7 linked regions of the Sus scrofa genome follow. Each later gene encodes a partner of the first gene's protein in a complex. Links are inferred from orthologs where the notes say so. Each region holds a gene or a part of one and is shown on either strand. Other genes may lie near its edges. The genes, in order: MED13L, CCNC, MED31, MED20, MED18, MED7 and MED23.

Evidence for each region.
Region 2: MED13L (region 1) and CCNC share a complex: the UniProt entries of both Homo sapiens proteins name them as parts of the mediator complex. The link is inferred for Sus scrofa from reciprocal best matches to the Homo sapiens genes MED13L and CCNC.
Region 3: MED13L (region 1) and MED31 share a complex: the UniProt entries of both Homo sapiens proteins name them as parts of the mediator complex. The link is inferred for Sus scrofa from reciprocal best matches to the Homo sapiens genes MED13L and MED31.
Region 4: MED13L (region 1) and MED20 share a complex: the UniProt entries of both Homo sapiens proteins name them as parts of the mediator complex. The link is inferred for Sus scrofa from reciprocal best matches to the Homo sapiens genes MED13L and MED20.
Region 5: MED13L (region 1) and MED18 share a complex: the UniProt entries of both Homo sapiens proteins name them as parts of the mediator complex. The link is inferred for Sus scrofa from reciprocal best matches to the Homo sapiens genes MED13L and MED18.
Region 6: MED13L (region 1) and MED7 share a complex: the UniProt entries of both Homo sapiens proteins name them as parts of the mediator complex. The link is inferred for Sus scrofa from reciprocal best matches to the Homo sapiens genes MED13L and MED7.
Region 7: MED13L (region 1) and MED23 share a complex: the UniProt entries of both Homo sapiens proteins name them as parts of the mediator complex. The link is inferred for Sus scrofa from reciprocal best matches to the Homo sapiens genes MED13L and MED23.

Annotation. Positions count from the first base shown.
Region 1 is NC_010456.5:36,062,547-36,067,213, reverse strand, and holds the start of MED13L (mediator of RNA polymerase II transcription subunit 13-like), read right to left. Parts: upstream 3,186-4,667; 5' UTR 3,065-3,185; coding exon 2,993-3,064; intron 2,914-2,992; exon of another isoform or gene 2,357-2,913; intron 2,312-2,356; exon of another isoform or gene 2,015-2,311; intron 1-2,014. UniProt on the Homo sapiens protein: Component of the Mediator complex, a coactivator involved in the regulated transcription of nearly all RNA polymerase II-dependent genes.
Region 2 is NC_010443.5:66,475,646-66,479,589, forward strand, and holds part of CCNC (cyclin-C), read right to left. Parts: intron 1,648-3,944; coding exon 1,568-1,647; intron 259-1,567; coding exon 140-258; intron 1-139. UniProt on the Homo sapiens protein: Component of the Mediator complex, a coactivator involved in regulated gene transcription of nearly all RNA polymerase II-dependent genes.
Region 3 is NC_010454.4:50,726,886-50,731,518, reverse strand, and holds the start of MED31 (mediator of RNA polymerase II transcription subunit 31), read right to left. Parts: upstream 2,839-4,633; 5' UTR 2,563-2,838; coding exon 2,535-2,562; intron 2,311-2,534; exon of another isoform or gene 2,247-2,310; intron 1,679-2,246; coding exon 1,601-1,678; intron 847-1,600; coding exon 750-846; intron 1-749. Other genes in the region: C12H17orf100 (uncharacterized protein C17orf100 homolog), read left to right, coding at 3,034-3,405. UniProt on the Homo sapiens protein: Component of the Mediator complex, a coactivator involved in the regulated transcription of nearly all RNA polymerase II-dependent genes.
Region 4 is NC_010449.5:37,071,229-37,075,817, reverse strand, and holds the start of MED20 (mediator of RNA polymerase II transcription subunit 20), read left to right. Parts: upstream 1-1,667; 5' UTR 1,668-1,797; coding exon 1,798-1,811; intron 1,812-4,589. UniProt on the Homo sapiens protein: Component of the Mediator complex, a coactivator involved in the regulated transcription of nearly all RNA polymerase II-dependent genes.
Region 5 is NC_010448.4:85,382,573-85,386,991, reverse strand, and holds the start of MED18 (mediator of RNA polymerase II transcription subunit 18), read right to left. Parts: upstream 2,908-4,419; 5' UTR 2,707-2,907; intron 2,146-2,706; 5' UTR 2,077-2,145; coding exon 2,004-2,076; intron 1-2,003. UniProt on the Homo sapiens protein: Component of the Mediator complex, a coactivator involved in the regulated transcription of nearly all RNA polymerase II-dependent genes.
Region 6 is NC_010458.4:66,117,560-66,122,004, reverse strand, and holds the end of MED7 (mediator of RNA polymerase II transcription subunit 7), read right to left. Parts: intron 4,341-4,445; 5' UTR 4,268-4,340; intron 4,264-4,267; exon of another isoform or gene 4,162-4,263; intron 2,025-4,161; 5' UTR 2,008-2,024; coding exon 1,306-2,007; 3' UTR 909-1,305; downstream 1-908. UniProt on the Homo sapiens protein: Component of the Mediator complex, a coactivator involved in the regulated transcription of nearly all RNA polymerase II-dependent genes.
Region 7 is NC_010443.5:31,991,068-31,995,011, forward strand, and holds part of MED23 (mediator of RNA polymerase II transcription subunit 23), read left to right. Parts: coding exon 1-67; intron 68-479; coding exon 480-696; intron 697-2,581; coding exon 2,582-2,818; intron 2,819-3,944. UniProt on the Homo sapiens protein: Required for transcriptional activation subsequent to the assembly of the pre-initiation complex. Component of the Mediator complex, a coactivator involved in the regulated transcription of nearly all RNA polymerase II-dependent genes.

The sequences.
Region 1 (4,667 bases):
ACAAATCCCACAACAGTAAGAATGAGAAACACATACAATGACCCATATCGTATATACACAATGGCATTTTTCACATGTTAGGAAAAGGGGGTGAGGGGAATGACAGAGAATTTGGGAACTGTGATGCTGTGCAGTAGAAAATCAGAAAGTAAAATAAGTAAAGGACTAACAAAAAATCTTAAGGCATCTGACTGCACAAATCAACTTTTGCTAAGCCATGTGAACACCTCAAAGTAATACAAAGTAGATGGCTCATTAATGTGGTACAGAACTTTAATAATTTCTAGTTTACATTTCAATCTACATTAAAGAGCATCTAGGTAAATTCTCTATAAGCAATACTTTCCTCTGACTAAAAAAAAAAAAAATAACTGCAGGCCAAAAAGAAAAATGTATGCTATTATTATGCACCACAAGTTCTTATAATACATGCTTTATTTTGAGCAGGTGATGATTTTATCTCCTTTGGAATGAACAATTCCAAACAATGTACTTTAGGCAAAATATTTTTGATATTCTAGGTTGCTGCTATATCTAATTTTCAAGAAAATTCTCAATTTGCAATGAGTAAAATTTATAATTATCAACAGCTCTGAATCCTAAATTTTTTTAATTTGTACCTATCCACTTTCTACATACAATAGAATGTAGACATTCTACAGTCCTTTAAAAAAAAAAAAAAATCAACCCAAACAACGCTGCAGTTCTGCATTTCAAAGTTGCTACCTAAAGAGTAATTGTTTTTTTTTTAAAAAAAAAGTATATTCAAAAATCAATTCCTGGTTTAAAAAGGTTAGAAAATCTAAAGCATAAACCTTCAGTCAGTCATAAAGCACAGCAAAGCATACAAATTGCCTCTCCAAAAGAATCTTAAGCATCTTATCTCTATAACATTATCATTCTTACTTAAGCTTTAAAAAAAAAAAAAAAGATAAAAAAATGATATCTCCAAAAGACAGGCTACACATGTACTTTGACTTGTCTACAAAACGTACTGTATATAAATTAGCCACATACATACAAGCCGTTGCTAGTCAGCATGATATATGGTAATTTGGAATCTCTCCTCACTAATACTGGTCTACTCGGTTATTTTAATTCCCTGTTAAAGTGTCAAAGTGGTCACCAGCCGCCAAACAAAAACCATTTAAATACCCCTTAATCAATACGTTTGCTAATCTATGGAAGTCCCTGCATCTGACTAATACTAAATGACAGACTGAGAGGAGCAAAGCAGCAGCAAAATGAGTTTTAGTTCCACATAGCAAAAGATCAAGGGAAAATTTTCACAGTATAAAGAAGACTCGCAACTTATCATTGATTTTTAAGATTAAATATCTAAATAAAAATGTTGAAAAAACTGACTTGACCTTATTACAGTGAAAGCAAAGATACTATGTCATTGGGTCTTTGCAGGTAAAAATCACGTTTTGATTTTTTTTATCTGCATAATGAAATTTATTTAAAAAAATAAAGCTTCCATTTGAAAAGTTGGCAAGAATCTGTATTTCTCCACTAGTCTCAAAGAAAAAAAAAAAGCATCTATGCTACCCATAATTAAATGCAACTAATTACAATTTGAACACTAAATTATTTATCCAGTGTAAACAAGGATTAAGAGAAAATAATGCTCCTATCTACAGCAGGGGTTACAGAAAACAATTTCAAAAATGCAAGCTCTCCAAAGGCAGTCCCCCCCAAAAAGGATACAAAACTTAAAATAAGTTGGGGTTTTCTTTTTTTAAGGCTAAATTAAACAAACCGTTCAGCCAATTTTCCAATTATATTCTACGCCTGAAACATAATTGCCTTACATCTGTTTACAAATCTTTGCTCAATATTTAAACAAATTCGTAGTCTCCCGGGCACATAGCTATATATACAGTAACCCATGCACAAAGCACATATTTAAAGACCACGCACTGCAATTATTAGCCTAAACGCCAGGTTTAACAACGTGAATGTTTTCAGAGCTAGGTAATACGACCCAATAAAAAGCAAAGATGGCATTTACCACCAAATGTCACTGCCACCGCCAGGAAAGAGTTGCTGGAGCCCTATACATTTTTAATTTCGCTGAATCTAGACGCCGTCGTCGGGTGCCAGGCTTCCAGGAGAACAATTGACACCCTAACTGCTTCAAGATTAAGGCAGGCGATTCAAATCCGAAGGAAAAGTTGTCAATTATCAGAGAGAGAGCGCGAGGGAGATGAAGGCAGATAAAAGCGATGTTATCAAACCGCCCAGCTTGTTGCTGCTGCTGCTGTGTGTGTGTGTATGTGTGTGTGTGTTAGGAGAGAGAAAACAGTTTTTTAAAAAACACAGGAGGAGAGAAAAAAGAAAAAGCTTTCTCCACCTTCCGTCGGCTCGGTGCAATGGCTTTACGGCTCTCCAGCGTAGTAAGCCCCAAGAGGCAGGCGGCTGTCGATGTTTACAATCGCGGGAGCTTCGGGTGCAAGAGTCCTTTACTGACACAATCGCATTCAATCAACTGTTTTCGGGCGAAATTGCAGGTGTCATTATGGAATTTTTTAAAAATTCAAAAGGCGGGCGGGCGGGCAGCCCATCCGACAAGGGGGGAAAAAGGCTGCTTATCGCAGGCGCGGGCAGCACAAGGCAAAGCTTTCCACATTTAGGAAAAAAAGGGGGGGAAGGGGAGGGGAAGGGGAGTGCGATGGCAACAGAGGGTGGGCGTTCGAAGTGCGACCCAGAATCCGCAGCTTTGAGACTTCTACATGCAAATTCCACGCCGAGCGCCGCGCTCACAAATGATTTTTAAAGAGCCAAATAAACACTGGATGGGATCCAAGGCGAGGGAGAGACGATCCAAAAGGGGGAGAATCAGCGAGAGGCGAACGGCGGGGAGAGGCGAGGGAGGGGCGAAGTCCCGGCGGCGGGAGGAGAAAGTTGGTCTGCGGCGGAGGTCGGCGGCGGAGGTCGGGGACCCCCCCCCACCCCGGCATAGCCCCCTCCCTGCAGCCCGGCTACTCACCAGCGAGAAGAGGTTGGAGTGACAATCCTCCAGGCTCGCCCCGTTCGCCACCCAGTTCGCTGCCGCAGTCATGATCCTCCGCGAGCCCGGCCGCCAGAGCGGGGCATGTCGGAGCGAGGCGTCCGAGGCGAGGCCGGGCCGGGCGGCAGCGCCTCGCCGGAGAGCGCGGGGCAGCCGGGCCGCCGCCGCCGCCGGGGGAGGGCGGGAGGGCCGCCGGGCGGGTGGGAGGCGCCGCGGCGACGCCGCGCCGGGGGCGGCGGGCCCGGGCCGGCGGGGGGGTCCGCGGCGGCCGCGCGGCTCCTTCCTGCTCCCGCGGCGGCGGCGGCGGCTCCGGCGGCGGCGGGGGGCGCTGTCCGCGCGGCCGGGCGCCCTCCCCGCCTCTCAGGGCCGCCGCTGCCTCCCGGGCCGGCGCTGCGGGCCGGCCGCCGCCTCCGCCTTCCCTGTTCCTCAGCCGCCGCCGCCGCCGCCGCCTTGTTTATCTCCAGCCACCGACTCCCCCTCGGCCCCCGCCGGCGCGTGAGAGGAGGCGAGCCCCGGAGCCGCCGCCGCCGCCTCGGAGCCGCCGCAGCCGCGGAGCGCGAACTCGCGAAGGGGGGGTGCGGACGAAGCCAGCGGGCGACCCCGGCAGCCGAGCGACGTCCCCTCCTTCCTCTTCCTCCCCCACCCCCCCCTCCTCCTCCCCAGTCAGCCTCGCTTCTCCTCCCTCCCCGGGCTCTCTCACTCTGACAGCAATGGCGGCCGCCGACCGCGGCTCGGCCCGCCATTGGCTAGCGCCCTATCACGTGACGGGCGCCGGCCGCGCGGGGAGGGGGGACGGGGGAGGGGCCCTGAGCGGCGGCGGCGGCGGCGGGGCTCGCGGGCGGCGCTGCTGAGCCGAGTGCGATCGGATTCTCCGGCCGGGAGAAGAAGGAAGACGGGGAGGGAGAGAAAGAAGTGCGGGCGGCGCGGCTGCCGGGCTGGCAGCGGCCGGGCGAGCGGCCTCAGGCTGCTGTGCGCTGCCCCGCTTGGGCGCCGCGCCCCGCCCCCTCGGGTGCTAGGATCTTTACGCGGCGCTACCTCACCCCCGGAATGCCTGTGGCAGTGGCCGCGGAGAGCTGGGGCCCCTAACCTGTGCCTCTGACGGCCTGGGCGACTGGGTGGTGGGGCTCGCTGTTGGCCAGACAGCATGTCCACGTGTCTCAAGGTTTCACTCTGTCGTCCGTGTTTTGCAAATGAGAAAACTGAAGCACAAAGAGATTAAGTCACTTGCCCACAGCTGGGAAGAGGAGGAGATGGGATTCAAACCCCTGCACCCATGCACAGGGAAGCTAAGCTCTTGCACTAAGGTTTATTACCCTCGCCCAGGAGCGCTTACTGAATACCAGGCACTAAGAAATGCAGAAATGCCTTTTGAACCCTTACTCCTAGGCACTGTGAGCATGCGTTCATTCATTGCATAAATGCTTTCTAATCTCCTGCTTTGTGCCAGAAATTTTTTTTTTTTTTTTTTAACTCCCAGGCACTTTACTAGGGCTGTGTTGGGAGCAGACCTTCCCTCCAGCATTCAATCAGTAACCAACATTTCCAGTATGGGAGTACAGAGGAATGCCACCATAGGGAGGCTCTTTTCCAGCCCTCAAGGCTTGACCTCGATGCAAAGGAGGAGAGAAGATAACTTCTTCATTAACAAGCCCTC
Region 2 (3,944 bases), on another chromosome or scaffold:
GTCACAAGAAAAAAAATTAACATGAGTCATGAAGTTTTGGAAAAAATTTTACGAAAACAAAACGTAATCTATGAAAAAACATGATATGTATATAAAATATACAAGTAAATAAAATCAATATATAAAGTCTACAAAGTACCTGTTTGGAGGAGGTTTTGGTTTCGGCATCTTACTAAGGATAGTTGCCATCTCTTTCCTCTCATCAAAATTCTTCCACTGCTCATACAGTTTTAAAATAACCCTGATTATTTCCAAAATCTAGAAGAAAATATTTGAAAAGTTCTCTACGGCAATATCAAGCAACACTTAGTATATAAAGAAGACATATCACGTATTAGATATCCCTCAGAAAACAGTGAAAAGATTGCCCCTGTCCTTCAGCTTAGATTAGACAATCCTGATAAATGTGAAAGCACTATTTTTACCATACAGCAATTTCGGCTTTTACTCCTAACCTCTCATCTTTAATATGTATACCTGGTCTATCCTTATCCATCTCCGCAGTTAGTTTCCTTCTATCTATTGATATCTTAAACCAAACCAAAATATTGAGGTACTAAGGAACAGAGGTCTAGATTATGAAGAGTATGCCACTACAGAGTATACTCCTCTAATAACAATCATTTCAAATAATTTAGTGGGCAGTAGTGCACAAAAGACTTTGTTCTGATTCTCTATTAACTACGCTACACATGAGTGAAGGTGCTCAAAAACCAGCAGCTACAAATCTCTCAAATCTGCTTTCCAAATCTGCCCTTTCTTCACCTGAGTAGACCTAACCTTGGATTGATTCTAGAATATTTCAGCAAAAAAGGTAGAAAAAAGGGCAAAAACTACTTTGTCAGGAGATAGGCTGTATTACAAAAGTTTACAGTAGTATTCACTAGGTCACTTGTCACCAGGCAGCTTTTAAAACAGTCCCAGGAGTTCTCTGGTAGCTAAGGATTATGCATTGTTACTGCTGTGGCTCAGGTTTGATCCCTGACATGGGAATTTTTGCATGCTGAGGGCTCGGCCAAAATATAATCAGAGCTAAAATAATCCTTGGAGTTCCCATCGTGGCTCAGTGGTTAACGAATCCGACTAGGAACCATGAGGTTGTGGGTTAGATCCCTGGCCTTGTTCGGTGGGTTAAGGATCCAGCGTTGCCCTGAGCTGTGGCATAGGTTGCAAATGAGGCTTGGATTCTGAGCTGCTGTGGCTGTGGTGTAGGCTGGCTGCTACAGCTCTGATTAGACCCCTAGCCTGGGAACTTCCATATGCTGCAGGTGCAGCCCTAGAAAAGACAATTAATTAATTACTTAATTAAAATAAAATAAAATAAAATAAAATAATCCTGGCAATTAGAGGCTGCTTTGCAACCATCAAACCCTAAATTTACCATTCTATTTAAGCCTAAACTGAAGAGAAATATAACCTAAATAGTCACATATTTCTTAGCGTTTCTTTACCAAAAATATTCTTAGCCTGGCTGACATCATGAAATTTGAGTCTCATGGTAAGTAAGTATAACATTAATTTTAAAATGTTCAAGTTTACATTCAGTCAAGGAAACTTTAAAAATTACCTTCTCCATGTCCACAGAAAGCTCAGCAAACCACTGTCTGGCATCTTTCTGCTGTACAACACAGGCTACATGCAGGCAGGCTGGAAAGAAAATGAGACAAAGGTCCATGTTTTAAGTGCAAACATGGAATGCATGGACTCACTTAAGATTTTAAAAGTCACCTAAAACTTTATGTGTATTTTCTTATATTCCTTTTAATATTTATATAGATTCATGTAACAGTTACCAGTGATCACCCTATTAATTTAATCTTACATATAGGAAAAGTTATTGGGCTACATATAGTAAAGTTCTCCCCACTGAGAGCTAGTCATGGTGCGGTTGCCTTGAGAGTCAGGGCATGTCAGAGAGGAAAAAATCCACTGAGGAACTATAGCAGGAAAGGATCCCTGAACAGCAGTACAAAGCAGTGGTGAAAATGCACCCAAAAGTCCATGTGACAAAAAGAAACAAAAATTTAGCAATCAAAACACTGATAAATGTCAACAACACTGACTATGTTTTGGTATTTCAATTAAAAGTAGCAGTCCCTCTGTTTTTTAAAGTTATTAACATAAGATCAAGTTAGGTATAAACTGGGCACACTAGCACAGAGTTTGATGTTATAATCAAATAGAGCTGAGGGGAAAAAAAGTAATATACTCCACACAATGTAATTATATACATTATTTACAACATAAACTAACAAAGATAGTGAAAGACTCAGAGGCAACAATCTACATCATAAATTTACCTAATATAATTCTCCCAACCAGCCTGGCTATAGTGATCCCACACAAAGTTGTTAAGTGTTATAGTCCCTAGTCTGGTTACCCATAAGACTTTGCTAAGAAGGATATTCTAGGCAAACAGCAACTCAAACATGAACTTACATACTGGCTGCCCTATGTTAAACAAAGCTGTAAAGTAAGGCTTAGGTCAAGGACAGATTGAGATCAAAAGACAAATTATAAAAACATGTAATTAGGGAGTTCTAGCTGTGGCACAGTTGGTTAATAATCTGGCTTATCTCTGTGGCAGAGCAGGTTTGATCCCTGGCCTGGCGCAGAAGGTTAAAGATCTGGTGTTGCTGCAGCTGTGGTGGAGGTCACAGCTGCAGCTCAGATTTGATCTCTGGCCTGGAACTTCCACATGCCATGGGTATGGCCAAAAAGGAAAATGAATGAATGAATGAATAAATAAATACAGGTAATGAAAATACAGTGGAAAATGACATAAGTCACACATAAAGTAAATTAGGAACAGAGGAGACATTCTAAACCCAGACTGAGGTGATACAGAAAGTGCCACTAACAAGATAGAGGAGTCAGCTTTTTAAAAAAGTGAACTGGGGAGTTCCTGTCGTGGCGCAGTGGAAACGAATCCGACCAGGAATCATCAGATTGCGGGTTTGATCCCTGGCCTCGCTCAGTGGGTTAACGACCTGGTGTTGCCATGAGCTGTGGTGTAGGTCAGACGCGGCTCGAACTGGCGCTGCTGTGGCATAGGCCAGCAGCAACAGCTCTGATTAGACCCCTAGCCTGGGAACCTCCATATGCCACAGGTGCAGCCCTAAAAAGACAAAAGACAAAAGACAAAAAAACAAAAAACAAAACAAAAAAAAAAAACCCAAAAATGTGAATTGGGAGCAGAAATGGTAAAAAGAAGGTGTGAATTTTATCCAGAAATTGGGAGGAGCACTGAAAGATTTTAATAGGGGTATAAATCCTGCATTTTATTATTTTATTTTATTTTTTGGCCTCGCCTGCAGCATGTAGAAGGTTCTTAGGACGGAGTTCCCATTATGGGTCTGTGGGTTCTGAACCTGACTAGTATCCATGAAGATGTGGGTTTGATTCCTGGCCCTGCTCAGCAGGTTAAGGATCCAGCGTTGCTGTGGATGTGGCATAGGCCAGCAGCTGCAGCTCTGATTAAACTGTAACCTATACCACAGCAGTGACAATGTCAGATTCTTAACTGCTAGGCCACCAAGAACTTCCAAATTCCGCATTTAAAACAGTTCTTTAGAGCTCAGTTTCTCAACCTTGGCACTACTGACATCATGGTCTGGATAATCTTTTGAGACTGCCCTATGCACAGCAGGATGCTTAATGACATTCCTGGGATTTACTCACTAAATGCCAGGGGCATGCCACCCCAGTTGTTATAACCAAAACCATCCCATAGGGAGCAAAATTATCCCAAACATCCCATAGGGAGCAAAATTATTATTGAGAACCACCAGCCTTGCTCGAGTGTGGAGAATAGGCTGGCTCTCTTAGAACAGGGACACTGAGAACAGGGATGCTAGAGGCCAATTAGCCAGGAAGGAGACTGTTCTAATAACCTGTATAAAAATGAAGATGGTGGAGTTCCCATCATGACTCAGCAGAAACAA
Region 3 (4,633 bases), on another chromosome or scaffold:
AAAAAACAAAGCATGTCACCACAGTAAAAACTGTCTCAAGCAAGTAAGTATCTTCAGTAAATGCTAAAGTTAGTGGGTAAAAGAATGAAATATGAAACAAGAAATTCCTACAGACTCAAAGTATTTCCTCACAAGATACATATTAAATACAAAAGGAAAAATAGTACTTGATATGGATAAAAATAACAGCCACCACCTCAACCAAGTGATCAAAATTAATATCACCAGTCATAGAATGAAGTGACTGCCTGTGACTCCTGACATACCAAGAAGGATATAACATCATTTCTGTGTCACTTATGGAGGGGAAAAAAAAAAGAAGACTTAAAACTCATATTAATGGAGACTAAGAAGACATGACAACAAAATGCAGCATCTGAGCCTAGACTGGATACTACACCAGACACAGGATATTGGTGAGACAGCTGGCAAAATGTGAATGAGGTCTGTTGGTTAGAATATACAGAAATTCTATTATTTCCAGTTGTTTTTAGGTGAAATTATTTCAAGTGGAAGGGTGGGGGTGGGGGTGGGGGTGGGGGTGGGGGTGGGGTAGGGATACCAGTGAGATTACTGCAATAATCCAAGTTAATTTAGAAACAAGTGTTTCATATTAAACTGGTGGAAACTAAAAGGAGCACAAAGAGGCAAAAAAATTTTTTTTCAAATGTGAAACTAAGACATCTAATTAAATATCAGTCTTTGTAATAAAGTACACATATATTTAGGACTATGAAAATTAAACTTACTTTAGATACTTGGCATATTCTGGCTCTTTCCAGTAAAGCAAGTACTTAAGATAATTAACAAAAGCTTTGTCTTTGAAGTAACCTCTTTGGGCAAGAACTGAAAGGCACAAAAAAAAAAAAAATCTGTAGAGCAAACCATCCTTGGACTACTTATTTCTGACTCCTGACATACATAAAGTAAACTTAACATAACATCCCCACCACTAAAAAACACTGAATTCAGGGAGTTCCCATCATGGCTCAGTGGTTAACGAATCCGACTAAGAACCATGAGGTTTCCGGTCCGATCCCTGGCCTCGCACAGTGGGTTAAGGATTTGGCGTTGCCGAGACCTGTGGTGTGGGTCGCAGACACGGCTCGGATCCCGAGTTGCATTGGCTGTGGCGTAGGCCAGGCGGCTACAGCTCCGATTCGACCCCTAGCCTGAGAACCTCCATATGCCATGTGAGCGGCCCAAGAAAATGGCAAAAAGACCAAAAAACAAAAAAAAAAAGACACTGAATTCAAAACACAAGTCCCAGTCTGCTCAATGATAATATATAGCAGTAAAAGTGTAGCAATAATTCCATTCACTTGAGAATGTATAAAAGTAGATAAAGTCATCCCAGGGACTCTGCAGGGGATTGGTTCCAGGAGACTCCACAGATTACCAAAATCCACAGATGCTCAAGTCCCTTATATAAAATGGTATAGTGCGATGACAGTGACAGTACTGTCACCTTCTGTATCTGAGGATTCAACCAACTGCAGTTGAACTGTGGATACCAAGGGCCAACAGTACTATGAATTGCAACTCTTCGGTCAGAAATCATCAATATTTACTCAATTCAACGGGGTACTGCTCAACTTACAATTAAGGTAATTTGGGTTGGCTAAACACTGCACAAATTCCAACTCCAATTGAAACCGAAGTCGATTCCCAGCATCATCTAGGAGAGAAGATATCAAAAATCATCCAAAATAAACGTCACTGAATACTGATTTGTAGAAAGAAAACATCAGTAATAAACCTAATGCTGAAATACACTTCTTCATAAAGAAGGGCATGTGATATTTTCCTAAACTGGGCGTGGGAGGAGAAAAACCTTTCTTAGAAGTCTAAGGAAAGCAAAGCCCTGATTAAAAGGAGTAAGACGTTTCTCTAAACTTAAAGACAAGTCATCAAAGAAAGCAAGAACACACAGGTCAGAATGTTTATGACCCGTGAGCTACCATGTAAGAAATTTAACAGTGATCACTGGGATAGATTAGGGTAACTGTGCCTTAATTTTAATAATGCATTACAAGTAGCTAGGTGATAAAGTTAGTAAACAAAAACAAAGTGAATGCTAAAGCCACCAAGAAAAAGTTCAGAATGCAAGCTGACAGAGGCTACGGCGAGTACACAAGATCAAGAAGCGTGTGCTTAGGTGAGAAGCGTCGTTGGTAGTATAATAACACAAATGTGTCGACGATGTTTTAACTTATGCAAGCTCGTTTGAGACGCAGAAAACAAACCGAAGATTGGTTTAAAATTGAAATTCTCTTTCTCGTTCTCGCCGGAAGCCAGTGGTGCCGGTGTCTGAAGAGCAATGAAAGAAAAAGTGTTGGCCAACAAATTAAACTCTGAAAAGGCCAAACTACCTTCACCCTTCCGACACTAGAAAAGTCCGCGGCCCTCCCGGTCCGAACTCACTCTGCCTGAAAGAAGTCAGGCCTGAAAGGAGAACGCGGGGGAGCAGGAGCGGGGGTTTGGGCCCAGGATAGTTCTACTTGCGAAGACGCGTGGCTCCGAGCGCGACTCACCTGTCTCCATAGCGACGGCGGCGGCCATCACGAGCAAAGACGCTAACCCACAAGCAGCCCAGCACAGCAAACGCCCGGAGCCGCGGGGGACGTGCCGGAAGCCGCCGCTCCCTCTTCCTGCCGCGGGGCAGTGTGGGACGCGAGGGCGGGATCAGCCTCGCGCGGGGGCGGGTGGCTCCGCCCATCCGCCCGCCCGCCCCGGCCCAGCCCAGCCCAGCCCCTCCTCCGCTCGCGGGAGCTCCTGACAGACGAGGGGGCGGTGCGCCCGCTGACCGAGCGCCTGAGGGGCCCGGCCCAGAGTTGCCAAGGAGTTTTCACGTCCCTCCCCACCCCTCAAGGAAACCTTGTCCCCAAGTCCCTGTGTCGTGGCACCCTCGTCTAGCGCTGTACCTGCGTCACACAGGCATGTGACGTCACTCGTCACCCTGTGACGTAACCCGTCGGGGAGCGTGAGGCGGTAAGGCCTCCCGAGGCCCGCTCGGTCCGTTACCCCCGTGGAATGGCCTCACCCCTTCGGGGAAAGCCCTCGCGGCCCCGGGCGGCGGCCGCCCGCTACGAGGAGACGTCGACGGTACGCGTAGAGACCTCGTCCCACCGCGTGGAGACATCCTCCCGCCAGGTGCAGACGTCCTCCCGGCGGGTGGAGACCACCCAGCACTGCAGCGAGGGGCCCTCCGTCTCCCCCTCTGGGAAACGGCTCCCTCGCGTCGTCGAGGTGTCCCAGCACGTGGAAACCTGGCAGCGCACGGAAACAGCCTCCCGCCGCGTCAGGGCCTCGTGCCTGCGGGTGGAGACGACTCTGCACCGCGTAGAGAGCCCGCCGCGGCAGGAGCAGCCGGCAGGCCGCCAGAATGTCCAAAAGGCCCCATGAGATGCTTCCTTCTCCAGGGCCACGACAGGGCCATGGCCCGTGGCCAGTGCAGATCTGCCTCCAGTTCGCAGCCGGCCTGCTGCCAGGTGGACCGATTCCCTTTGGTTTCCTGGAAACAGTCCACAATCCACAAATCAATGTAAGAAAGAGCCAAGCTGTGGTTTCAGGACTCAGCCAACATTCACTGACCCAGCTGCACCTTGGACTATCCTGCCTTTGACCCTGTGAACTGTTTTAACTTGAAACCAGCACAAAAAGTTCCGGGCCCCGGATACTGTATGAATTGAGTCGATGGACAAAGAGGCTCTTTGAACCTCTCAGACAGGTGAGTGTGGGGGTCCTTAAGCCCTGAATGACCTTTGCTGCTTCAAATTTAAGGACAGGGAGCAAGCAGAAATCATGACCAGTGGATTGATTATGTGCCCGCTGAAAACCTGGGGGGCAGGGATCAGACTTTCCTTAATTAGTTAATTCCTTAATTAGTTGGCCTATGTTTATATTTCAAAGCACGCAGTTCTTTTCTTTATGCTGAGCCCTTGTGCATGGTACCCCCCCCCGCCCCCCAGCCACACATGTTTTAACATAGGTCAAGTGCAGTTCAAAATGGAAAATGAAGGTCAACCATCAACAATCAAGAATAATTTTATGGGGGAAAAAACTGTAATTGCAATGTATACATGTAAGGATATCCTGACCCCCTTGCTGTACAGTGGGAAAATTAAAAAAAAAAAAAAAAAAAGAATAATTCTAGAAGGCAAACCTGACCTGTGATTTGAGGAGATGCAGGGGAGGGAGCCTGCATATTGAGCACCGACTCTGTGCTAGGTATTATCCTGGCATTTAAGCTATAGCAGTGAACAAGGTAAACAGGGCCCTGGCTTGGGGGGAGTTCATATTCTAGTGAAAAGGCAAACAACAGGAGTTCCCATCGTGGCGCAGTGGCAGGGAATCTGGAATCCGACTAGGAACCATGAAGTTGCGGGTGCGAACCTTGGCCTCGCTCAGTGGGTTAAGGATCCGGCGTTGCGGTGAGCTATGGTATAGATTGCGGATGCAGCTGAGATCTGGCATGGCTGTGGCTGTGGTGTAGGCCAGTGGCCACAGCTCCAATTAGACCCCTAGCCTGGGACCCTCCATATGCCACAGATGTGGCCCTAAAAAGACAAAAAAAAACCCTCATTTTTCAGGATTTTTGTGGGTTTTTTTCGTTGGGGGTGTGCTGTTGCAT
Region 4 (4,589 bases), on another chromosome or scaffold:
GGTGAGGATGCAGAGACTGGGGAGGAACAGTTAAAAGACAATAGTACAGGAATTCCTTTTGTGACTCCGTGGTAATGAACCCAACCAGCATCCAGGATGCGGGTTTGATCCCTGGCCTTGGAGGATCTGGTGTTGCCATGAGCTGTGATGCATGTCACAGACATGGCTTGGATCTGGCATTGCTGTGGCTGTGGTGTAGGTCAGCAGCTGCAGCTCTGACTGGACCCCTAGCTCAGGAACCTCCATATGCCACAGGTGCGGTCCTAAAAAGCAAAAAAAAAAAAAAACAAAAAACAGAGACAATAGTGCAACCTTGGGGCAGGTCCAGATTCCTCCTCAAGGAATATACATAGTATCTTTGAGCCCTTCTGCAGAACTATTACTTGATGAAGTATGAAGCATTCTTCAGTGGAAAAAAGGAGGACCACCAGAACCAGTCCTGGGGCCACTAAACAGGAGCGTGAGAAACCGTGCAAGTTTGCCTCGACCCTGGTCCTTAACTGCGGCTCTATTTTCCACTCTTACACTGTAAAACCATCTCCTAATCTCTCTCAAGGGGACCATAGTCTTTAGGGCACTAACCTGCTCTGGCCCTCCTTTGGCAGAGCAATAGAGATATCTTTTTCTTCTTCACCCAAAACCCTGTCTCTGTGCTTCAACTGGGCATCGGAGGACAGAGACAGAGTTTTGGCAACACTACCTGCCTCATATCCTAGCTCCCCTCCTCGCACCGGTTTCCTCCGTGCTACCTGAGATTCTGTCTCCCGGGCCTAGGTCCTAATTTTGCTCCAAATAAAACTTAACTCTCAACTTTTAGGTGAAGGTCTCCAGCCACCCTAAATCCGGCCAGGGCTGGGTCTCCCATTCCATTACCTTTGCTAGAGTGTAATACGCCCCCCTGGGTTTTTTTTTTTTTTTTTAATTCCAAACTATTATCCTGCCGGACACTTTTCAGCCTACCACTACCAACTACCCATCCTCTTTCTCGCACCCACTCTCGCTACTCACCCAGCCGCGTGGTGCGATCTTGAGGTGCCGCCGGCCTGTCCCCGGTCCCATGCTCAGCCTCGAGCTCCTCTTGCTGCTGCCGCGCTTGTTGCAAAATCCGTCGGGTCAGCCGAGGCCCCACGTACTCCTCCTCCTCTTCTCCGGTTCCGCGACCCCGCCGCTTTTCCCGGGTCCCCGCCCGCACCGCATTCCCAGCCAGGATTTGGTCGGCCAGGGGCGCATGCTTTTCCTGACCCTCGGCCCCGCGGGCGGCCTTGAGTTTGGGCATTTCGCTAGAAAACCTCGCCGGGAAGTTTCACATGTGGGGACAGAGGAAAAGCTCTGAGTGCGCCGGCGCAGGGAACTCCCCAGAGGCCAGACGGTGATTACAGCGCCCCCTGGTGTTCGGAGGCCGGACCTGCCACCATCCCCGCCCCACCCCCTGATAGAGCTCCTGAGTCCTGGAGCTGGACTCCCGAATAAACTCATTGCAATTAACATCGCCTTCTCTAAGCAGTGGCAGTCCAAGCCACGCTTTCTTAGCTTCATGAATCTAGGCCCGGGGTGATTTGTCGAATAGGAAGTCCCCGAGCTGCAAGCCTAGGGGGCGGAGCCCTGCAGTGACGTCACTGGAGGCGCCTGTACGCCCCGTTCCTCGTGGCCGCCGAAGGGACTCGCACTTTTTACGTTATTTCCGGAGCACCTCCTACTACCGAAGCTTTCGTTAGGTCGGTGGTTTCACCTCGCGTGGGCTGCAGCAGAGCACTGCGTATCAGCTGTTCAGTACTGTCATCTTCCTGGCCTAACATCATGGGAGTGACTTGGTAGGACTTCAAGGGATTTCGTGGGGCGAAGCTTGGGGTGGTGAAGGGCCGGTGGAGCCTCCAGTGTCCCCGAGAGGAGGATCGGGATCAGGGTCTGAGAGAGATGCCCTCGAGTTGTGTGGGTGAGGGGACCACTGTGAGGGCTGCGAAATCTGCGGGCCTTTTTCCTCGGAGATGCGCCCCTTCTTTCTCAAAGGTGGCAGGTTAAAAATTTTTATCTTAAGAATCCACCAGTGGTCGCGTACCTCCTTCCGTTTTTCTTGGTATATTCTTCCTGCTCGTCATCCCACAGTACTGCCTGGGGTCGGAAATAGTATGTCGGGTTTAGGACCCATCTGCAGTCAAGGTTGGATGGGTTGTGGGGAGGGAGATAGACAACATTGAAGGCAGTATCTTTTTTAGGTTTTTGCCCTTCCCTATGGCCACTAAATGCAGTTAGACCAGCCTGTGTCTAGTTCTAATTTGGCCATTTTAAGATCTCGGGTCTAGAGGGGGAAAAAAAGAAGCTATTGGGAGTTAGGAGATTGGGATGTTAGGCACATCACCTCCTCAGAACCTGTTTCCTACTATGTTTAATTACATGCTTGGTTTAGTTTCTGTGGACTTAATATCTGTAACGTGTTATGAGTCAGAGTGCAGGGAAATATGGGCCTCATGCTCTTGGAGGCATTAGTTCCAAAATGCTAGATTTCAGGGCTTAAAAGAAAAAAAAAAAAAAAGGTATCTGGAGCATCTTTCCAATCAGAGAGGGCTAGAGGCCAGGGTATCAGGAGTCAGTGGCTATAGAGTCTTCATATAAGAAAAGAGCCTGTGGGAATTCTTCCTCCCAGTCACCCAAGTCTTGCACACTTGTCAGTGACTGCACATTTGCTTCCTGCAGTTGACATCATGAGCCTCTTTGGAAGTCTTTTAGTGTAAGGAGGATGTGAAGAATGGAGATGAAAAGTTTCCTCCGCAGAGGCATGGAATCCTGGAAGCCCCTGTTGTTTTTTTCTTTTCTTTTTTAAATTAAAATATAGTTGATTTACAACATTGTGTCAGTTTCTGCTGTGAGGCCCCTGTTGTTGTTTTTGTTTTTGTTTTTGTTTTCTTTTTTCTTTTTTTCTTTTTAGGGCTGTTCCTACAGCTTTTTTTTTTTCTTCTTCTTTTTTTCTTTTTAGGGCCGTTCCTGTGTCACATGGAAGTTCCCAGGCTAGAGGTTGAATCAGAGCTGTGGCTGCCAGCCTGTGCCACAGCAATGCCAGATCCGAGCTGCATCTGCAACCTACACTACAGCTCATGGCACCGCCAGATCCTTAACCCACTGAGCGAGGCTAGGTGATCGAACCCATATCCTCATGGATACTGGTCACATTCTTAACCCGCTGAGCCACGAGCAGAACTCCGAAGCCCCTGTTCCTTCAGTGCAGAAGGCAGACAGAGGGAAAAGGCCCTCTGTTGGGACCCTTCTCGACTTTTCAGATTCCTAGTACTTTGGACCCCAGTTGTATCATCTAAGGGATTCTCTTATTTTTCAAAATAAAGGCCATCATCATTGTGGCTTGTTAGTGCTCTTCCTGATGGAGATTACTGACAATTTGTAGCAACAGCAGGGGTCTGTTTTTATATTTTCCTTTAGTTGATCATAATTGGTCATAAAGTAATGCAGTACCTCCCAAAATTCAGCCACATAATGATTGTCTTTATGATTTTTATATAACTTCATAGCACTTGAACTATTTATTTTTTTTTAATTTTTTTTTTCTTTTTGCCATTTCTTGGGCCGCTCCCGCAGCATATGGAGGTTCCCAGGCTAGGGGTCTAATCAGATCTGTAGCCGCTGGCCTACGCCACAGCTCACGGCAACACAGGATCCTTAACCCACTGAGCAAGGGCAGGGATCGAACCCACAACCTCATGGTTCCTAGTCGGATTCGTTAACCACTGCGCCACGACAGGAACTCCTAATGCTTTCTTTTGATTCTGTTTTTTTCCTTATAAGTATTTTAACAGACAACTGTATCCTTAGGAAAGCATTCTTTTTTTTTTTTTTCCTCTTTCAGCTGCACTCGAGGCATATGGAAGTTCCCAGGCCAGGGACTGAATCTGAGTCACAGCTGTAAGCTGTGCCACAAATGTGGGAATGTCAGTTCCTTAACCCACTGCCCCAGGGCAGTATCAAACCCATGCCGTCACAGAGACAATGCTGATCCTTAACCACAGTGGGAACTTGGAAAGCTTTCGGTGGAGCATTTAAGAGCATGGACACGGAGCCACCTCACTTGACTACACTGCATTAAGCAGTATGACCTTGTGCCAGTTACTCAACCTCTCTGTTCAGTAGTTTTCTCATTTGTAATGAAGAAATGATTATGCTGTGTCTTATAGGGCTGATGCAAGTTAATTCATCTAAAGGCTTTGGGCACTGCCTGGCTCATAGTTGGTGCTTGGTAATTATTACCTACCACTTAAAGTAGAAGCCAGTTGCACTCTCCATAGAAGGAAATCTTGGAAATAACTTTTTATCTCATTGTTTTGGCTAAATTCTTGTTGCCTCTCACTCTCAAAGATTAGAAACTTGAGGCTTGCTTTCTCTTTGATCCAAGGATCCTTAGAACTTTCTTCATTGATGAAAATGTTCTATGTCACTGTCCGGTACACCAGTTCCTAGCCACTTGTGGCTATTGAGCTATTGAAATGTGGGCAGTGCAACTGAAGAGTTGAAGTTTTCATTTCTGTCGCACATGGCTTGTGGCTCCTGTGCTGGACAGCTTTCGTTCAAAGTGTTAGAGAGTTAGT
Region 5 (4,419 bases), on another chromosome or scaffold:
TGTGTTTGAATTTTTTTTTTTTTTTTTTTTGCTATTTCTTTGGGCCGCTCCTGCGGCATATGGAGGTTCCCAGGCTAGGGGTCCAATCGGAGCTGTAGCCATTGGCCTATGCCAGAGCCACAGCAACGCGGGATCCGAGCCGCGTCTGCAACCTACACCACAGCTCACGGCAACGCGGATCGTTAACCCACTGAGCAAGGGCAGGGACCGAACCCGCAACCTCATGGTTCCTAGTCGGATTCGTTAACCACTGCGCCACGACGGGAACTCCCTGAATTTTTTAATAATAAAACATTTTTTAAAAAAGATGTTGAACTGGAGTTCCCGTTGTGGCGCAGTGGTTAACGAATCTGACTAGGAAGCATGAGGTTGCGGGTTCGATCCCTGGCCTCGCTCAGTGGGTTAAGGATCCTAAAAAACTGCCTCCCCCCAAAAAAAGATGTTGAACTATTGTGTGAGAAGAGACAGATGATCAAAAGTGGAAGCAATGCAATAAGCACAAAATTACTAAAATAGTTCAAAGGATGATAAACCAAGCCATTGCATGTGGAGAAAAGACATATTTAATATATATTTTGGAAGTAAAATAAACAGAACTAGAGATAAGCTATAGGTGAGAATAAAGTGAAAAAATGGAGATTGATTCCTGAATTCATAGCTTGAGCAACTGGTGAATGACAGGCACTTACTAAGATGGAAAAGACTGAAGGAGGGACAGCTGGAAGAATGAAAGTTAATAACCCTACTTCGTTCATATTAAGTTTTTTTTTTTTTTTTGTCTTTTCTAGGGCCTCTCCCCAGCATATGGAAGTTCCCAGGCTAGGGGTCTAATCTAGGAGCTGTAGCCGCCGGCCTACGCCAGAGCCACAGCAACGGTGGGATCCAAGCCGTGTCTGCAACCTACACCACAGCTCATGGTGACGCCAGATCCTTAACCCGCTGAGCAAGGCCAGGGATCGAACCTGCAACCTCATGGTTCCTAGTCGGATTCATTAACCACTGCACCATGACGGGAACTTCCATATTAAGTTCTTAAATGGATAATTCAAAGTCTAAACTTTTTTGCGAAACATTATAAGGCCTCCTGAAAATCATTACACTGAGTTTTGAGCTTTCTCATCTGGGCAAGTTACTTCAATTCTATTTCCTGATCTACAAGAATTAATAATAGTATCATAAAATTATCATATGATCCATTAATTTCACTTCTGGATATTTAACCAAAAGAATTCAAAGCAGGATCTTGGAAGAGATATTTGCATACACATGTTCACTGCATTATCCATGTTAACCAAGAGGTGGAAGCAACCTGAATGTCCAACAACAGAAGAACAGATAAAGAAAATGTGGTATATACATACTATAGAACATTATTCAGCCTTTAGAAAGGAGATCCTGTCTCGTGTGATAACACGGGTAAACGCTGAGGACATTATACTAAGTGAAATAAACCAGTCATAAAAAGACAGATACCATATGATTCCACTCATATAAAGTTATCTAACGTAGTCAAAATTAGAAACAGAAAGTAGAAAGGTTTGGAATTCTCCTGTGGTGCAGTGGGTTACTCATCCTGTGTTGTCATTGTAGCTGCCAGAGCTGCTCCTGTGGTGTGGGTTCGATCCCTGGCCTGGGAACTTCTATATGCCGTAGGTTCAGCAGAAAAGAAAATAAAAAAAGAAAAAAAAAAAAAGAAAGTAGAAAAGTTGTTGCCAAGGGCTGGGGGGAGGGGAAAGGAAGAATGAGTACAGAGTTTCAGTTTTGCAAGATGAAAAAGTTCTAGAGATTGGCTATACAACAATGCAAACATATTTAACACTACTAAATGTTATGCTCAAAATGTTTAATGCTATATGTTTGTGACCATAATTAAAGCCAAATTGAAAAAAAAAAAAAAAAGAGGTGCCAGAAATTATGTAGCCTTTGTATATTAGCCTTTCATCTCCATGGAACCTGAACAGAAAAGAGGAAATCAGGTAATCTAAGCTCCCTAGTTCACTTACCCTGCAGCAGGTACTCCATCATGTTAATGGTGCCCCCGGTGACAGGCATCATAGTGACTGGAGGTGCCTCCATGCTATCTGTTTAAGTTGAAAGCAACAGAACCGGATTCAGAGTCCCAGTCAAATAAAGCACAGGACACACCTGGAAAAGAGTTATGCTTGTTAATACATCAGAGAGATGGAGAGACACCAGATCTACCTGGGTCATTAGCCTTAACATCAAAAGATTCATTCATTCATCCAGAACTTTTTGAACAACTTCCATAAGTCAGTTTCAGGAATTGATGATACAGAAATACACAAAGGAGGCCTGATCATGGAGTTATAATCTTTCAGTCTCAAGGTCTGAAACCTTCAGTTTCAGAATTTCCTGTGCAATAAGCCATCAAACCGCTGACCCTGGGATTCAATGTCTTCCTTATAAAATGAGGTCGACATTTAACCCCCAAGGCTTTGTGGCTCAGATGACACAATAGCCGTGAAATAATAGAACTGAGAGGTGACTCCCCTTCAATTTGGAGATGAGGATACTGACACTTTGGGTGGGGGTTGGAGGGAAGGATACAGAGCAAGTCCATGGCAGAGATAAACCAGACAAAAATCTAGGCGTTCAAAACGCCTTTGAAAGCGAGCCAGACAGAAGTGCGAAGTTCTTCTGACGATTGAGGTCCTCCTACCCCACCATCGACGCGTGCCTACTCACACCAAAAACACACCTCCGCGCGTGTTCTAGCCTTTTCTGGCAAAGCAGGGAACTGAAGCCACCAGAGCACCTCGGAGCTTTTTAGCGATAATTAGCCCCCAGCACTGAACTTGAAGACCCCCACCCCCCGGTGGAGTGCAACACTTTCTCCCCTCCACTTCCGGCAAAAAGTCTCCGTCGCGCAAATCTTGACATCACCATTCTGCGACGTAAGGGTGCCGGGAAGGCATAAAAATCATCTCTGCGGCCTGGCAAGTAGAAGCGCATGCGCAAACTGCGATTCTGCGTGGAAGAGGGCGGCCTTCCTGAGCGCGTTCCTCGGGGCGTGAGGGGGACCTTGACATCAAAGGCAGTCCTCCCGGAAAATATTTTCCTTTTTTCAAGTGTGACGGCCTGGAGTTGTTTTTGTCAAGGAATTCTTTTGGAACTTACAGGGGGAAAAGAGAGCCGGGGGAAGAGAGCTGAAGAAAAAAAGAGATCATAAAACCAAAACTTCTTTTGGTTGAGTACCTGAAGATAAGAAGGAAAGACATCTTTTACTGTTTAGCAGACTGTTCTGAACAATTAGGGAACTCAGCAATACATTTGATATTTGTTCACTCTTCTGTGTTTATTTTACCTCAATTCAAAAATTTTGGGAGATAAGTAAATTCAGCTCATTTATTGAATGTTGCTTGTGTGTCAAGCATGTAAAATGCAAAGAATGGAGCTAGAGTATGGTGGTTGAGGCACTCCCTGGAGCGAAAAATTTAAGGGGCACCAAAACTCCTAACAATTCAAAAAATTGTAATGCAATCTTTTACGAATTTAATGTGGAAAAAAAATCCTTAATGAACAAAATATTGGAATTTTTGATCTTCACAGCAGCCCTGTAACCCAAGTATAATTATTACTTAATTTTACTAATGGAGAAACTTAGGCATCAAGAAATAACACACCAGGGAGTTTAGACTGGGGTACAAATTTAAGCAGCTGCCTGATTTCAGAACCCACCCTCTTAATTGCTACACATCTTTTTTTTTTTTTTCTTTTTAGGGCTGCACCCTGGCATATGAAAGTTCCCAGGTTAGGGGTTGAATCAGAGCTTCAGGTGCTGACCTATGCCACAGCCACAGCAATGTGCGATCTGAGCCGCATCTGTGACCTACACCACAGCTCATGGCAATCCTGGACCCCCAACTCACCGAGCAAGGCATATAGAAGTTCCCAGGCCAGGGTTGAATCGGAGCTGTAGCCCCTGGCCTACGCTACAGCCACAGCTGTGCCAGATCGAAGCCAAGTCTGCAACTACACCACAGTTCATGGCAATGTTGGATCCTTAACTCACTGACTGGGGCTGGGGATGGAACCTGCATCCTCATGGGTACTAGTTAGATTCATTTCTGCTGAGCCATGATGGGAACTCCTATACAGTCATTTATAATTCCAGTTTCCCCTGCTGTAATTTATACTGTCTTACTCATTTACATTTTTAAACTTAAAAAAAATATTACCCACATTTTATCTGACATTTCAAAAGTAGGATTAAATTAAAAAAAAAAGAATAGGTAAGAATTGGGTGAACAATATGGTAAAACTTGGACAAGACTCATGATTTATAGGGATGGAGAAAATGTTATAAGAATGTGAGGCCTCAGAGTTCCCACTATGGAGCAGCAGGAACGAATCCGACTAGGAACCATGAGGTTGCAGGTTCGATCTCTGCCCTTGCTC
Region 6 (4,445 bases), on another chromosome or scaffold:
GCCTGGTTTTCAGTCATTCAAGGACCTGGACTGAACTTTTCTTTTTTTTTTTTTTTTTTTGGCCTTTTAGGGCCACGCCTGCAGTATATAGAGGTTCCTAGGCTAGGGGTCAAACTGGAGCAACAGCTGCTGGCCACAGCCACAGCCACAGGGCAATCCAAGCCATGTTGTGGCTTGAGCCACAGCAATCTGAGTCACGTCTATGAACTACATCACAGCTCACGGCAACCCCAAATCCCTAAGCAACTGAGCGAGGCTAGGAATTGAACCCACATCCACATGGATACTAGCAGATTCATTTCTGCTGTGCCACAACAGGAACTCCTGGACTGAACTTCTGCCATCTTCAAGTGACTTCCAAACTTTTCCTGGGTGTGACCGTAACACCAGCAGATGAGAAGAGAATGACGAGGCAAAAAATTTTTATGGGGCAGGCCTAGATTTTTACACCATATTTCACTGTTAAGAACTCAGTCACGTGGCCTCACAGATATGCAAGGGGAATGGAGAAATGAAGTCCCTGGCAGGGCAGCACATCTCAGGGGAGCAAGAATCTCCAGTGGACATCCAGCAGTCTCTGCCACCAAGCCCCCTACCCATAGCAGGCTTCCAGCCTTAAGCAACTCCAAGTTTAGGAAATGTAATGTATGGGCACCTTAATTATTAAAGTGAATATAACTATAAGTGATCAAAGGACTTGTCACAGTGGCCAGAAGAAAGTTCTGGAACCCATCCAGAATAAGGACCAAGAGGCTGGGATAGAATATTTATAAGGCGCAGTCAAGAGGAAAAATAAAATTACTGTTTTATAACTCTTATGGGGTTTCTCTCTTTTAACATGTAACACTATTTTTTTTTAAAGAGATTAAGCCATCTTTTAAGAGGAATAAATCAAAAGATTTCCTAAGTTCACATTTACATAGTTTGATATCCTTTATTATTTATCACTCTTAAAGCAAATGACAAATCTACTTTCCAAGGACGAAAGCTTGCAATTACTGAGGATATCTTCCAGCTCACTGCACCTCTGAAAACAGGGACGTTCCACCCAATAGCAGCGAACACTGCCCTTCACGGTGATTACTCTCACTGGGGCACTACATTTAAGCTAAGTAGGAATCTAGCTATGCTTGCCACAGACGAAAATACTGCCTGTGACGTCCCACAACTGATAAAGCTGGAGAGTCAAGCTGTTCGCGTGCCTTCTACTAGTTGTATCTCTTCAAAGAATTCTCTAAAAGTGAATTAACTAATATATATGCTATTTACTGAAAGGAAAAAATCAGCAAGGAAAAGAAACATCTTTCACGGTCTTTCATTCATTTCATCAATGAGGACACACAAGGCAGCATCTTTCTCTATAATCTGGTCTCTCCTATGACCTGAATTTTCTCTTTGTTGGTCACTCTGTCCAGTACAATTGTTGCTATCATCAGCGTCCATTGGTTCAGCTTTTACTCTCATCCCTGCTTCTGAATGGGGCAAGTCATCAGGCAAAGAAGCCAAGCAATTCTGAATCATCTCAATGACTCGTTCCAGATGCTTCTGAAACCTCTCTGCTGTCTCAAGGCGTTGCCGCTTCTGCACCTCCATCATGACTCTCAGGGTCTCTCTGGCTTGGTGGGGCCGGTATTCATTTATGAGATGATGTACATGCACAAAAAGCAGCTTAAGATCTTCTAGCTTCTCTTCCCGTTTTATACTCCCAGGACTCCTTATCAAGATATCTAAGAGATCTAAGAAATTAATAAGGATAGACATATTGAGTTTTCTCAGTTCTTTCTTGTGATCAAACTGCATAGGATGAAGCCGTTCGATACCCTGACTTTCCAAAGGGCGGATGATAAGATCATCACATTGGAACTGGTTGCCAAACATCATGTAACTGTCTTTTATTGGAGGTGGAGGCTTGGGAGCGAGGCCTTCCTGAATGTTTTCATCTGTGTATTCCTTGATGTACTGCATCGGAGGTGGCGGAAGGGCACTCACTTGCTGTGGCTCACCCATTGCAGAAGATCACAAACCTACAGAAACAGACCGAAGATTGAGAGTAGAGCTACAGAACAAACCTGCCACACTTAGTGACTACAAACAAGGTTATTTCCCTTTTTTTCTCACGGCAGTTTGGGGCCCAGGACAAAAAGAGTTCTTTTATTTCTAAAACTAACATTTATAACACAGAAAGGCTGCCATCCTTTTCTAATTAGCATTATATACTCAACTATCCAGATTTTTTTTCTTTTCTTTTCTACCTAATACTTTCACAGGCACAAAAAATATACTGTAGCATACAGATGACCCTTGAACACAGGTTGGAACTGGAAAATCTATACTCAGGTTTCCAATTGCACAGAGGGGAGGCACCCCTAATCTCTTGAGTTGTTCAAGAGTTGATTGTATTTTCAGCTATAAAGGAAATCTTCTGGTTTCCACACCCCTCACCAGTTATGCCCTATTTCTCTACCTCTCTTTATAGTCAACTACACATGCTGTCTCCCCAGCTGAGGTTACAACACTTTTATTTTATATTATAGATGCATTTCCAAAAGCAAACGCTAACTTATGGTCTAAGAAACACCTTGACAAAATTAAAATTGCTATATTCCAGACAAGTTCACATCGTCTGTGCTTTTTTGATAAAATGACCCAATTCCATACCCTCTTTTTCTGCAATGTACTCAACTATTTTTTATAGACACGTTAACTTTTCTACATCCACTAAAGAAATTTCAAATCCAAATATATCTTCAAGAGCCACAATAACCTCTATTTATTCCATTTTAAGCTTAGGTATATCAAAAAAAAAAATGGTAAGATCTCGAGTGCTCACTTAGACTGATCTTATCAGATTTTCAAGACATAACACTGGAAGTTCCCATTGTGGCTCAGTGGTAATGAGCCCGACTAGTATCCATGAGGACTCAGGTTCGATCCCTGGCCTCGCTCAGTAGGTTAAGGATCTGGCATTGCTGTGAGCTATGGTGGAAGTCGCAGACTCAGCTATGATCTGGTGCTGCTGTGGTACAGGCCAGCATCTGCAGCTACAATTCGACCCCTAACCTGGGAATTTCCATATGCTGCAGGTGTGACCCTAAAAAGGAAAAAAAAAAAAAAGATATGACACCACCCAACGTCAGAGATAACAGGTAAAATACTGGATGCCGTTTTATACTTGGAATGTATGAGGTACTAAAGGCAGCTGCCCAGTAGCTCCAAGTTTCCACCAAGCCACAGAGGTGACGAACAAGATGCTGCTGAGAGTCAGTGAGGCAGTGGCCGTGGGCATCATGAGTTACTCGAACTAAACCAACCACAATTACTGCTGTACCAGCCTTCCCCTCATTCATTTTGTCACTACCCAGTATGGTATCAACCTCCTACCTCCACAAAAACTACTCATCAAGGTCATCAACAATCTCCACATGACCAAATCCCATGGACTTTAAGGGGATCTTAATCTCTTAGCATTCTCTTTTTTTTTTTTTTTTTTTTTTTTTAATGGCCGCACCTGCGGCATATATAAGTCCCAGGCTAGAGGTCGAATCAGAGCTGCAGCTGTCAGCCACAGCCACGCTGGATATGAGACCTATACCAGTTTGTGGCAATGCCAGATCCATAATCCACTAAGCAAGGCCAGGGATTGAACCTGCATCCTCATGAATACTAGTCAAAACTCTCAGCAGCATTTCCTTAATTTGCAATACACTCCGCTTCTCCTCCAGCTTCAGTGATCCTACATTTTCATTTTCCTCTACCCCACTGGCCACTCCTTCTCAGTATCCTTTACCGCCCTTTCTTCTCTATCCAAATTTTAATGTTGGCATGCCTCAGAGGGCTGCCCTAAATGAGAATCACAAACTCAAATACCAAAGGGAAAAGGCAGGCAATATAAAGAGTGAAGCACTCTGAGGCAGGGATTAGGGCAAACTGAGCATCTGCCTGCCAGACTTGAAAGCTTCCTGCCACTAGCATTCATGTGGGAAAGAAGATTCATTGTTTCTCAGTTTCTTGATGTTTCAAGGGCAAACCCCCATATTTTTACATGAAATCTCTCAAGTTTTAAAAATACTGGCAATTAATTCCAGAAATTGTCAAGTACTGCGAGGTCAAAAAGAATTATCTGTAACAATCGTTGTTGCCTGCTGATCAGTAATTTTAGACCTGTTTCGTGTTCTCCCTTGGATGGTCTCAGTCAATTCCACAGCTTTAAATACCATTTCTACAGTGGTTCTCAACCAGGCATGATTTTGCCCACCAGAAGACATACGGTAAATGTCTTTCTGTTAACTCTTGGTTTTTTATCTCCAGACTGCGTCTGGGCTCCTTCTGGATGTTTCAAACTAGAAAAGAAAAAAAAAAAAAGTTCTCTGATTCCATCTACCGTATATACCCACACCCTACACCTGTTCTCTCCGTTTCTAATCTTTCCTATCTTGTAAAATGTC
Region 7 (3,944 bases), on another chromosome or scaffold:
GAAGGAAAATTCCCCAGAGCACTGGCTACAGAATGACTGGCACACCAAGCACATGAATTATCACAAGGTACTAATTCAAGTTAGTGCTTCAGTTAATCCTTTTTAAAGCCATTCTTGTAGGTATTTGGCTAATTGACCTGGCTGTTTTCTCTGCAGCTCTACTGTTTTCTCTCTGGTCCGTATAGAAGTGAATTAGCTCTCTTAACTTTCTCAAGGTTCTAGAGGCTATCTGTAATGTTCAGAATAAATTAAAACTATAGTTTTAGTAGACATGAGTACTTAAAAAATGAAAAGAATTATGTATGTAAATGTATCTTTGAAACAGTAGAGATTTTTTGTTGGATAAAAGGACTCTTAAGTTTCATTTTATTGTAGCAGCAAACAGTTTCAGATTCTGTGAAAAACGACAAGTTTAGCTCCTTTAAGGAGAAAAAAAAAAAAAACATGCCTCAACATTTACCATTTCCTCATTTCCACAGAAATATCCGGAGAAGCTCTATTTTGAGGGCCTGGCAGAGCAGGTTGATCCTCCTGTGCCGATCCAGTCTCCCTACCTGCCCATCTATTTTGGAAATGTGTGTCTCCGCTTCCTTCCAGTATTTGATATAGTAATCCACAGATTTTTAGAATTGCTCCCAGTATCCAAATCATTGGAGACTCTACTAGATCACCTGGGAGGCTTGTATAAATTTCATGGTGAGCTTTTTCAAATTTTAATTCCATCTAATAGCCCTGTAGACAAAAGTAGGCTGGTCATGACCAAATGGATAATGGTGATTCTAAAGGTTTTATTTTAATAATTTTAATATAAGTGTTTTGAGAGGAGGTATGTGTGATGATGCCATGAAATGTAAAATAAATGACATAAAAATATCAACAGATCAGAGCAAAAAAAAAAAAAAAGTAATATGCAAGAGAAGCCTTGTTGTATATATTGTGTGATTAATTTCCAAATCAGTACAGAAGGAAAAAAAATAAGTTCAGAACAGACTGGTGTTACTGTGAACTAAATAGATCTTAGTGGGCTTCTTGGATGGTTAGGGTTTGAACTATGATGTATGGGATTTATATAAATAGGAAGGAGAAGAGAACATACTAGGCAGAAAAAATCTTTTGGAAGAATCATGGAGATGTTAAAAACAAGGCATTTTGAAAACAGTCGTCTCGTTGGGCTAAATTGTACCTGATGGCAGATCACCGTAAATGCCAGGCTCAGAAGTTCTGATTTTATAACCTAAAGATAATCAAGCATTAACTAGAAGTTACTGAGTTAAGTCATGTCATAGTATTATTTTAGAAAGATAAATCTAGTCAGTTGTAATTCCAATATGGACAACTTGGAAGGAGGAAGTCATTTTAAAGACTTATAACAAGACATTCAGTTGTATTAGCATCTAAACAAGTATGATGGCCTTGAATGAGAAAGAAGGGACAGATAGTCAAGGAAGTAAGAATTGGGCTTGATTGACCAGTTATGGGGGGAATATCAAAAGAAAGCAAAGACAGCTCTATGATGTTTTAAGCTTGATAACTGGAGAATAGTGAAATCAGTGACAGAGTGTGGAAGTCTTGGAGTAGCCACTATGGGGACAGAGTGTTTATTTGGGGGGTAGTTCTTCTTAATCCTTGGTGTAAGAAGTCTTCCTCCAAAACAAATCTGAATTATGTTTTAGCACTGTAGAGTAAGTATGAAGTTCAAGGGAGCAGTCTTTTAAAAACACTTCTCTGGAGTTCCTTTCGTGGCTCAGCGGAAACAAATCTGAATAGCATCCATGAGGATGCAGGTTCAATCCTTGGCCTTGCTCAGTGGGTTAACGATCCAGCGTTGCTGTGGTGTAGGCCTGCATCTACAGCTCCAATGTGACCCCTAGCCTGTGAATTTCCGTATGCTGTGGGTACAGCCCTAAAAAGAAAAAAAATTTTAAAAATAAAAATACTTTTCTTTTGGATCGGATAATATATGCACATAATGAAGTGTAAAGTAGTTAGTCCCAAGCCTGTGCTCTAGTTCAGCAGTTTCTTTCTCTATAAGCAATTTCTGTTACCACTTTCTTGTGTATCGTACCATAAATATTGTGAGGTTGGTAGTCTTTTTCCCACAAATATGTAATACTACACATTGTTCTGCACCTTTTTTTTTTTTTAACCTTTCTAACCTTTCTAATGTATTGGGGTTGATAAATTTGTATCAGTACATACAAAGCTGCTTCTTATATGCGGTAATTAAGTTAACCTGTCCACTGTTTTTCACTCTTTAGGCTGTTTTGATCTTTTGCTGGTATAAGCAGGGCTTCAGCGACATTGCTTACATTTATGACATTTTTTGCAGAGTAAATTTCCAGAAGTGGAATTGTGACCTCAGAATGTGATAAATATCCTTCAATATAAGCTCTGTATATTGTTAGAAGCCTTTTGCCTTGTCCTAGGATAAAAACATTCATTGTATGCACTTGGCCAACATGTGAAGTAGTTTTCATAACCTTCTGAGCTATTTATTGGTAATCTTAAAAATAGAAGGTTATTTTTTCACAGTTGTCAGTAACCAGGTAAACATTGTAGTGACCTCTTTTCTTCTTGGCAGATCGTCCAGTAACTTATTTGTATAATACTCTGCACTATTATGAAATGCACCTGAGAAATCGTGAAAGTCTCAAACGAAAACTTGTCCATGCAATCATTGGGTCGCTCAAGGATAACCGACCACAGGGCTGGTGTCTAAGTGACACTTACCTGAAATGTGCTATGAACGCACGAGAAGACAATCCCTGGGTCCCCGATGACTCCTACTATTGCAAATTGATTGGCAGACTAGTAGATAATATCCTTTTTATTGTGCTTTTCCAGTCTCTGCAGAAATAACTGTATGTCGATATGTGTGAACATATGTTGTCTTTTTATATGTTCCAAGACTTCAGGTTTTTTAATGTTTTATGTTTTAATTTTTGCTTCTGTAAAGGTTTTGAAATCTTAAATTAGTAGCAGCATGCCATGTAGGTAGAAATTTACTCCACTAAAATTTATATTTAAAAAAATTTATATTTAAAAATTTATATTTCCGCCTTCATGGCTCAGCGGAAACGAATCTGACCATTAGCCATGAGAACGAGGAGGATTCGATCCCTGGCCTCGCTCAGTGGGTCAAGGATCCGGTGTTGCCGTGAGCTATGGTATAGGTTATAGACACAGCTCGAATCTTGCGTTGTTGTGGCTATGATGTAGGCCAGCGCTACGGGTCCAATTAGACCCCTAGCCTGGGAACCTCCATATGCTGTGGATGCAGCCCTAAAAAAAGAAAAAAGACCTTAGAGAAGAGATTTATTTCAAAGAAAAATATCCTATTCCTAAATAAATGTACTAAGTCTTGTAGTACATGCATCTATTCACCACCAGAGAACATAGAATTTTGTTGCTTTAAATAAAAACCTGAATTTTTTAAAGCATTAATAGATAGTAATAAAACTTCTTTTTCTTTTTTTTAGTGAGAAATTCTATATTGATATTTTTATTTCAAGTAATTAGCACATTGTATTTAATAGCACATTGTACACCATGCCACTATTTACTAGGTTTATTTTACTACACAAAGGAATTATTTCCTGAAGTAAAAGAATTACTTAGGCTAAAGAAATTTTCTTATTAACTGTCCTATAGGTACTAAAAGAAATAAGTTGATAAAGCCTAGGGATAGCTTGGCTGCATCTGTAGCTCTTAAGTCACAGATATAAGAGCCCACTTACATAAAACCAACCGTTTATACCTGTGGTTGATCATATAGGAGCTATCAATACATTTCAGTCATATCAAACTAATTTGTACTGGGTTTGCATTGTTTGCCTAAAGCGCTCTGATAAACCCCTTCTTGAAGGCTCATATCAGATAAATTGATAATCAAATGAAATGTTTACATGTGAACATTTTGAAAACTGTAGAGCACTGTACAAATG